Linked DNA regions of Arabidopsis thaliana. The protein of the gene in region 2 purifies or fractionates together with the protein of the main gene of each other region. This does not show direct contact. Each region holds a gene or a part of one and is shown on either strand. Other genes may lie near its edges.

Region 1 (3,872 bases), on a different chromosome or scaffold from region 2:
CTAGCAATTTCCACAGACTTAACTATATCACCATAATGAGCCAATTCCTTTCTTTCTGCTATGTGTAGTAGTATTAGAAGAACCCTAAAAATCTGAGTGTATTAGTGTTATTAGCAATAGGCTCATTTTGTTCCATAAGTTACAAAATTGCTTAACATGTGTGACGATTTTGCAGGTGTACTATACATTCAAACCAATATACATGCTAGCGGAACCATTCATGCTTGTATCGGCTTTCTTCTTAGTATTTGTGGCTTCGCTTGCGTATGTACACATCGATCTCAATATCGTCAGGAAGTAGAAGTCTTATCAACAGTCCTTCGCTTTCACTTATAGACTCGTAAAAGAAAATACTTTTGATCATCACTTGAAGAACTAAACTTTGTAGGTGTTGCTGCTTTTAGTAGAGTTATATCTTTGACACTACTTTGCTCTCCAATCTTGATTTTTCCTCAATTTTATTTACAGAGAATCTAAAGTGTTTAATCCATCCAACAAGTGAAGTGGAAAAGAGCGAATTGCCAAATTATGTAATGAGGAAAATGTTTCAAAGTAAATCAAGATAACACAATTACACAACGGTAATAACAACAAATGCATAATAAAGTTTACACTAAGACAACAAACGCTGATCCTAAACTTCCTTGCCTTAAAAAAAACTTGCCTTTAAAATTTTGTCTCCATAATTTTAACAATCATGACCGGAGTTTGAAAAGAGATCACTAAACCGGATTCTTCTTCGGCCTTCCTCTTCCTCTCTTCTTCGGTGTTCCATCTGAATTAACTCCAACACCATTATTACTCCTCACAGCCTCATTATCTCTCTTCGCCGCACCACCTGACCATCCATCAAAACTAACACCATTACCACTTGGAGGAGCTGCAACGCCGCCGGATGAGAAAACCGGAGGCATCCAATTAGGGAACTTAGCTGCATCTACTCCATTAGCAATGGCAGCTTCTCCTCCTTTACCACCAACAAACCCCATCGGAAAAAAACCCCAACAACAATAATACTCATCTTTACCAGGTATCAACGGAGGCAACTGAGGAATACTCGCAGCGTGAAACGCTCTTTGACAGTTTTGACATCTAATACAATACTCTTGATAAACCCTAGGATACTCATGAAGACTGTAACAGTACGGACACGCCGTCCAAAACGTAGACATCTTCTCATTCGTTGTTGTTTTCTTCTTCGATTTCTGAGTGTTGAGATTTACTTTAGTGAAGATGAGATTCAAATCTCCATCGAATTGAGATTTCTTCGTAGGTGTTGATAGAACTTCCCATGCATCAAGCACGAATCTGAAAGCTTGATCGGCGAAAGGGAAACGGTTTTTGTCAGGGTGGAGAAGAAGAGCAAGACGACGGTATTGTTTCTTGATTAGATCGTTGTCTGTTGATGATTCAGTTAGATCTTCGATCTGAAGGATTTTGTACCAGTTTGGTTGGTTTTTGATACGATTCTCTGGTGCTGATGAGAGTAAGACATCGACGACGGCGAGGATTTGATCGGTGCCTTCGAGGAGTGGCTCTGTCTCTTGAGCTAAGATTGCAAACTCTTTTGAACCGTTTAGATCTCGTGACTCGAGAAGCTTCTCCGCGATTCCGAGAAGACGTTCTGCTTCTGATCGGTTAGGGTTGTTGTCTCCCATCTTTCTTCTTCCGTCGGCGATGGCGGAGAAATGGTGAGCAGATCTAAATATTATCGCCTCGACAAGAGACGATGAAACAAGGCTCTGATTGGCTGTGTGTAAAAATGGTCGGGGGAAAAAAAATAGTAACATTGGAGTAAACGGAAACTAAAACTTTATTTGTTACCAAATTTATTTAGTAATAAAATCATTTCTTCATTTTTATGTTATTATTTTTCACAATTTTATTTTATGTTATTATTTTTCACCCTTTTATAATGTTACCTACTTACAATTCGTTTCCTATTTCGCCATATTTATAATATTGCAAATAAAATCCAGCTTTGTGTCACCAGTTACAAAAATAATATGATTATATACTTTATTGGTTTTATTAACACTACATTAAAAAGGTAAATAAAAGGAAAAATTACTATAGTATATTGGAAATAAAGTCGGTATTTGACTCACTAGAGAGTTATAATTTATAAATGAGACATAATTATTGTTTATTCATCTTATTCAGACAACATAACTAAAAAATATATGGTCAAGATAATATTAAATGTTTTAAGAATGAAAATTTTCTAGAGCTAAGAATATCGGAAATAAAGTTAGACGTATTATGTTTAACAGAAAAAGAGGCAGAATTATGGCAGTTAGCTCAATTTGAGCTCAATACCAAAAATAACGGTTCCATGGGATCGAAAAAACAAATTCGGGTTCAGAATATATCACACGATAATATTTATTCTGGTTTGCGTTGTTTTGTGGACGGATCTTGGAAAGGAAGCGATAAGTTTTCTGGATTAGGGTGGTTTTGCAGATCATCAAATGGAGACTCGCCAACCATGGGAGCTGCTAATCTTCGTAGAAGTCTTTATCCACTCCATACAGAAGTCGAAGCACTACTTTGGTCGATGAAGTGTATGATTGGTGCCGACAACCAAGAAGTAGCATTTTTTACAGACTATTCAGACTTGGTGAAGATGGTGTCTTCTCCAACCGAATGACCAGCGTTTTCAACTTATTTGGAGGAACTAAAGACCGATATAAGGAGGAATTCACAAAGTTTTCTTTATCTTTAATTTCTCGAACTGCAAATGTAAAGGCGGACAAATTGGCACGAAAAATTCATATTGAACCGCTTCATGTCACTTTTATAAATAATTTTCCTCACAATTGGCTCTTTTGAGCTCTAAATAAAATCTGTTGACAAAAAAAAAAAAAAAATCAGAAATAAAGTTCATCTATGACTACCTACCAAAACAAAAGTTCATCTTTGATTCACTCACAAAATAATACAAATAAAACATGAAAATTATAAAAACATTTAATATTATCTCTTACCATAATTTATTTATTTGTTGTACATAGTACAAATAAAATGGAAATAATAATTATTTTTTATTTGTAACGTTTGCCGGCCGAATAAAATATTAAATTTATTTGCAATACTACTCACAACAAACTTTACAAATAAAACATGATTATCGTTTTTTCTTTTCGTTCATTCAAACTATAAACAAAAGCAATGAAAGCATGATAAGAAATGATATTAAATGTTTAAAAAATAAAATTTGATATAACTATATTATTGGAAACAAAGTCCATATTTAAGTCACCTATAAAAAAGCATGATATGAAATAATAATAAATGTTTAAAATAATAATATAATATCTAATGGTATTTGAAATAATGTATGTGTTTGAAGATGTTATAAAAATGTTAAAAATAAAAATATAATTATCAATATTGATAATAATATTCATATTGATATGAAGAAATGATATTATTTCCAACTACAATTTATTTACTTTTCAATGTGATGTGAATAAATAAAGAATAATCATGTTTTAGCTAATGTTTCAAAATAGAAAAATTAATATAACCAAATACTGTAACCTAAAATTGTAAAAAATACCACTCTAGTAAATACCAATATTACCCCGGTTAGCTGCTACTAACATTAAGGGTGAAGTTGTCATTTGATACAGTGATCACGCACTTTTCACTTGTCTTCTTTATTAGTTTTTTTTCCTTGTTTTTTAAAGACATCACTTGTGACCAAAAAACAAATCCACTAAGAAAGAAAAACAAATTAATAAAAAAAAAAGATCAGAAATTAGTTTGTGCAGAAATCGAATTGGAGAAACCGAGTAACTATGGTAGCCACAGATGAGTTCATCGTTTTTGACCAGATCTGATTGTTTTCGTCTTTGCCGTTGAAATAA
Region 2 (6,434 bases):
TTAATGTTCTGTTACAAACTACGATAACTCCTACCTGAATTGAGTGTCTATTATATAAAGAGAGGTGCATGAGTATGGGATCAACGTTCTGAGATTTTGACACTTACTCGTAGATGAGGTGACTAGGACACTCGTGTCAGTTTGCGAGTTTGTAGCTAAAAAGATAAAGCTTAGATTGAGATAGGGATTTTACTTTTCTTTTTGTAAATTTGTCATTTAGTTTTAAGAGTGAATGAAAAAGGACATGTTTCCAACGTTACCACATATGAGTCGTATAACATTGGACACGTTTGTTTCAATATTTGTTTTTGTTCTTGTAGACACGTTTCAATTTTAAGACAAACATAACAGAAAAGTCAAATGTTGGAAACAAAGGTCACCAATATGTCGGAAGTCAAATAACAAATCTTTGTCGGTCTAACAAAACTCATAAACTTCCCCTAACTCTTCGGATCTCTCTAGATCCTTGTTTTTCGTTGCCTTAATTATCTTTCTCTTCTCTTATTTCATGTTAGAAAACAGAGTATACAACAGAAAACACAATCGTTTATTTTTGTTCTCTGTGTTCCCATACACAAAATCTTCCAGCTTCTGTTTCTCCGTTTTGTTCAACGGAGTTACAAAGCGGAAGAACCTTTGCCTTCGGCCTGAAAGACCAAAGATATGGGAACTGGTGGAATAACGTCCAACGCTCACGTGGTCTCTCCCACGTGGCATCACAAGCACGTGCCTCCTATGGATGACGACTCTGTTCTTCAAAGAGACATCGGAGAGCTTCTTTCACGGTGGGGCGGGCTTCAAATGGCCGTAAAGAACCAGTGGGGAGGCCATGATTCTCTCAAGAAATCTCAAGAGCTAGCTCACAATCTTTTTCATCTCATCTCTCAATCAAATGGTTCGATTTTCTTTTTACTTCTTTAGATTTTATGTTATGATCATGAATATATTGATAGTTTGATTCCAACATTATGATATGAGCAGTGATTACGGTGGAAGAAATAGAGAATTTGCTACATGAAAGCTTGCTTCTTTCTTTCAACACAGAGATTGAAGATGGCAGCATTGAAGAGGTACGTACTATTTCTTGAAAATGTAGACGATCAATTTACTTGTGAATTATGTCGACTAATCTTTCATCGTGTGATTTCGTCAGGTAGCTGAACAATTGATGATACTCCATGAAGAACATTTACGTGGGACTCTTTAAGCAGTAGCTTGAACGATTTATATCATTTTTGGTGTATAATTAGATCAATGTAAGATACAAAGAATTGAAAATTGGGTGGACAACAAAATATTATTCATCAGAAATCATAGAATATAGGAATACGTATCAAAATCTATGTTTATTTGATGTAATCATTTTGTAGTTGTGATGAACAGTTTTTCCTAATGTAATTTCAAATTAACCAGTAAGACACTCCATCATGATTAATGTGGGGAATATGGACCGAGTGACCGATACCACGTAGAAAATATATATCTAAATTTTCCAATATAATGCAACAAAATTCATATTGAAGCAAAAACTCCATGTAATTTGGATTCTTGACAATTTTATTATGGTCAAATCATGTGTGTAATATGCAAATAAAAACTAGAGAGATGGCAATAACATCATTAGTATGAACCACTAGGCTATAAATTGGTCAAAGTAGAAATGGTGCAAATGAAAGACTAATTTACGTGAGTGCGATTACGGTAAAATCGGTCATTAAAGACAAAAAGACTTACCGTACAACAAGTCATTTACATGAAAACCAAAAAAAAAAAAAAAAAACCCTCCAAAAAGGGATTGTCCAACATAAGGGCACAATAGTCAATTTCAAGCGATTCCTCGTTTATTCGTGTTTCATCTTGATCTCAGCTAGAGGAGGAACTAAACCACATCTACAGAGTCAGAAAATAAAAAGTAGAAGAAGCAGAAGCGAGAGTGCAAAAAGGTTAGATCTGCTTTCAAAATTGTTCGTACTGCTTCTTTACCACATAAAGTTCATAGCTTTTTACGTTTCTACCGATAATTTTGCATTCCGAATTCTCCATTTTCTCAATTTTGCTTAAATGGGTGTTTCTCTTCTGCAGGAAATTAGGTTTTGAGTGGTCATGTCTGCTCCTATCTATTCTCCGATAGATATGCAAGAGATTGTTCAAAATCCTCCTGGGTAATTCTTCTTTTCTGATAACTATGTTATAAATGTGAACAAAAACTTGTTTTGTCTCTGGTTTGTTTTGGTTATCCTGTGTCTGAATCTTTGCTTTGATTTCTTGAACAACTTAGACCTTTTGATGGGTTTATGTCCGGAAATGAGACCAAATTAGTGTTTAGCTGATATCTGTTCAAAATTCTGACCTAAGCACAAAAAGTTCTTGAGTTTAGATGAGAGAAGATTAAATTGTTTAGAGGAACATTTTTGTCTTTGGGAATTGTGTGAAACTTACGTTGAGCAAAAGTTAGGGTTCTTATTCTAATTGCTGCTACCATAAAGGATGTGTCTTTAGGGTTTGAAGTCTCCATATTTTGTTATTCATTATGCCTGAGTATGCTTGTTTCAACACTACGGTATAATGAAGTGTATAATACATTGTTTGTCTACATGTTTTAATGGTGCTACGGAGAAGGCAAATGATTTGTGTTTGTTGTTTGTTTTGTTTATCACACTTCTCTTTCATCTTCTCTAGTGTTGATTTGCATGCAGGTTTGATACGGAACCAGTCCCAATCAGTACTTACCGAGACAATGAACCTGTCCCGCTTTCAACTTACCGAGAAAATGATTCAGATCATCTCGACGCCACTCAGCAAGAGAACGATGACTTTTGGGAAAACGGTTTCAGTAGGGAAGAGGCCATTGAAGATCCAGAGCCTTCTCAGGCAAAGGAAAATGGAAAGAGAAGTGTAGACAACAGCGCTTTCACTCATGGGGAAACTGATCTCAATCAACTTCCTGCGATTCCTCCGGTTTCAACTGGTCAAGGTTTGCCGTATGCCCCTGTTGATTGGCCAAGCCCTGGTGATGTATGGACTTGGAGAGTTGGGAGGAGAGTGACTGCTATGGGGTATCATCAGGATAGGTTTCTTATTCTCCCTCAAAGGCTTCAGCAAAAGCATGTCCCAAAGTCTTTCGCAAGCAAACCCCAACTTGCTCGTTATCTCGAATCGGATTTCCCTGGCATGGATGCTGATGCATTCTTTGCTTCTTTTAGCTGGAAGGTTCCAGCTCTCTTCCAGCCTGCAAATAAAGGTGATTTTATAGCTTTCCAAGAGAGGTTAAGATTTTGCAGATGTTCATAGATGAACGTAATCAGTGATATCATTACTCTTTTGTAGTTGATGCTGCGTCTCTTTTTGAGGAGACACCGAAGGAAGTACAGACTGAGGTTGGCCAGAATGATGAGAATGCTCAGGATGGGAAAGGAAATTCTCGATACAGCCAAAGGAAGAGAAAGCCAATGCCGACGCCACAAACTTATGAACCTGTTGAAGCGAAACCAAAATCAACTCCCCGAGGTAGCAGCAACAAGAAGAAGAAAGGAGCCACAACTCCGGCTACTGGACCTCAATCCTCTACCAAACCAAAACCATCTCGACAATCAGGAAGACGTACCTCGATCCAGCAGCGCGGTGGTGCTGTGGACTTGAACTTCCTGAATGAGGAGGAGAGTGAACCTGCTACTGCACCAAAGACTAGTAACAAGAGAAAGAAGCGTGGAGTTAACTATGAGGAAGAAGATGTTTCTATTCCCCATATTTATGTCTCTCCTATGAATGGGGTCCTCGCTGTCTCACACTCGCCTATCGATGTTAACCCGGAAGAGTTTGATAGCTATCTGAACTCTCTTGATAACTTGATGCAGCAACCTCCAGAAGAGGTTGGGCGAGACTCGTCTGTTCTTGTTAGTGTAAGCTCTCCAATGAGAGAATACGAATGGGCTGAAGCCCGAATGAAGATCTCATCTCTCCTGGAGAAGGATTTTACTACTTTGTTCCTCTCCAAGGACGCAGCAGAGATAGCAGCATTAGCAACTAAACTAAGGAAAGATCCAAACCTTACTGCTGAAGAGATAGTTAGGTTGAAGCTGATGGAAGAGATTCCGACCTTCAGCGAAGTGTTCCAAGAGAACAAAGGGGTGATTGAAGAAGCAGATAGGTTCTTCTCTGCTCTGGAACTCAACAAAGCCAAGGTAGCATCGCTTAAATACGAATACAGCGACCTGAAGGAAAAACTAGGAAGTATCCAAATGGAAGTAGACACAAACTCTGAGACAATCCGTCAAATCGATGACCAAATCGCTCAACTTCAAGCCAGACGGTCTGAATTGAAGCGGTACATCGGGACCAAGGAGAAAGAGAGGGTTGATCTAAGCTATGGTCAAAAAATGGTAGCGAACTCAATCCCGAAAGTCGTACAGGAAGTTCAATCAGCTAATTTGAAGAAGCCTGAATGGGAATGCAAGAAAGACAATGCGCTTAAACGTGAAGCAGAGATCCTCTCTAAATTCACTCCTCTCAAAGGCTTCTTCCTCTAAATCTAGCCTCCTCATGTATCCCCGATAACCTTTAGCTAGTCTTGTTGTGTCATGTAGCTTTTTGGTTTATGTTGCAAGAGTCTTGAAACCTATTTTAGACTTGGCCTTTTGTCTATTTCATGTAATGTTGTACTATGGAAACTATCCGTTAGTTGATGAAAAGAATTAGACCTTTTTGTGCTTTCGTTATCTTGTTTGATACAACCTTAAACAACCCTTGTTGATCTTACAAAATAAGAGATCATCAAAGATTCAATCTTTTCTTTTATTGCCAACAACAAAAACAGAAGGCTACACAATATCAACGAAACGAAGAAGATTAGAGATTAGTCTTCTTCTCATGTTACATAGAGGACATTACTTTGATTCACTGAACAAGCACAAGCCTTCCACTACCAATACCTTGTCCAAAATCACCACCACCACCATCATCATCTTCTTCTTCAGCATTCTTAGGCACAGTAACAATCAAATCACCATCAACACAAGCAACAGTAACAAGCTCAGGCCTAGTTGATTCCGGTAACCTAAAACGCCACACGTCAAGCTCTAATTCGTCTAAAGACAAACCAAGAGAAGAAGACCCATTTGTCCTCACAACGATCTTGGTTATACCAGGATGAATCTCAACCATATAAGCCCTCATTTCTCCATCGCCGTTACAGAGACCTACCGTCTCCGCCACAAATCGAAAACAGTCGTGTCTCTCTTCCACTGCTACATCTGCTTCTGACCTCAATGGTAGCTCCAGAACACGGTTGAAGATATGTGGTAATCGTCGGAGATTCTTTCCGGGTTCTCGGGTCGGGTTATGATGATGATGATGGATCAATGTGTTGTTGATGTTTCTGGGAATTGGGTGCACTCTCATAGCTTCTGGGTTTGGTTTATCGATCGATTGGATCAAATTCAGTAACAAGAGATATGAGAAAAGTGATTGAATCTTTACGGGAATCAAAATCATAAAAAACACGAGAGAACCCTAAAACACAAATCAGCAAAATGTTAGATTTTTGTAATCAAAATCTGTATTTGGGATTGGATTTAAACGGATTAAAGAGATTAGAAAGTGAAAGAGGAAAGCTTTATTAGGAGGATTTGAAGCAATGGAAGAGACAAGAAAAGATTGCGTCTTTCCTTTTTTATGAATGGGTGCGAAGGCGGTAGCAAGAAGAAGGAGGATCGGAAATGAGATAAGGGCATTTGAAAATTTACCAAACTACCCCTCTTTTTAATTGTATTTTGTTACATCTTCAGTTTTAATTTCAAAGTTGGATTATGCGATTTATTTCGGGGAAAATGTCAAAAAAAGCGCGAACTTTCAAATTTGGGACGAAAAAAGCATGAACTTTCGAAATGTCATTTAATTCACAAAGTTTCGTTTGACTTTTTTAAAAAAATGTCAAGTTTCGTTGACTTGACCATTTTGGGCACGTCGTTAAATTTCCGTTAACAGCGTTAATTTTCTATTAAAAAATTCTGTTAAATCGAAACGACGTCGTTTTTAGATCTCCAAAACGACGTCGTTTCATTAGAAAATAATGATGCAAAATCTGCGTCCACAAAGACTCGAACATATGACCTACTGGACTCATATGGGGCAATATACCGCTGAGTTACGACAATAATTTACAATAATAACAAACATTGCATACATATACTAACAAATATAATATACTATTAATTAAAAATATATGCAATAAATTAAAAATAACAAAATTAAAAAAAAAACTAAAAATATTAAATAAACTTACCTTAATATATTTTAAATTTCAAATATTTAATTATATATATAAAGACATCTTCTATATTTGAAAAATTATAGATCTCTCTAGAATTCACATAAGTCTTTGCAATTGTATTTTTGGAATAGATAAAAACTGAAAAACTGAAAATTGAAAATAATTT

The links.
Region 1: the proteins of AT3G22520 (region 2) and AT2G01710 fractionate together in Arabidopsis thaliana (co-fractionation; one large-scale study listed by BioGRID). This does not show direct contact.

The regions. Positions count from the first base shown.
Region 1 is NC_003071.7:313,622-317,493, reverse strand, and holds AT2G01710 (Chaperone DnaJ-domain superfamily protein), read right to left. Parts: upstream 1,847-3,872; 5' UTR 1,791-1,846; coding exon 723-1,790; 3' UTR 501-722; downstream 1-500. Other genes in the region: AT2G01720 (Ribophorin I), read left to right, coding at 176-301.
Region 2 is NC_003074.8:7,972,881-7,979,314, forward strand, and holds AT3G22520 (spindle assembly abnormal protein), read left to right. Parts: upstream 1-1,839; 5' UTR 1,840-1,943; intron 1,944-2,082; 5' UTR 2,083-2,103; coding exon 2,104-2,162; intron 2,163-2,696; coding exon 2,697-3,241; intron 3,242-3,327; coding exon 3,328-4,526; 3' UTR 4,527-4,893; coding exon of another isoform or gene 4,894-5,490; 3' UTR 5,491-5,768; downstream 5,769-6,434. Other genes in the region: AT3G22510 (Pre-rRNA-processing protein TSR2, conserved region), read left to right, coding at 664-895, 982-1,070, 1,154-1,207; AT3G22530 (heat shock protein), read right to left, coding at 4,894-5,490.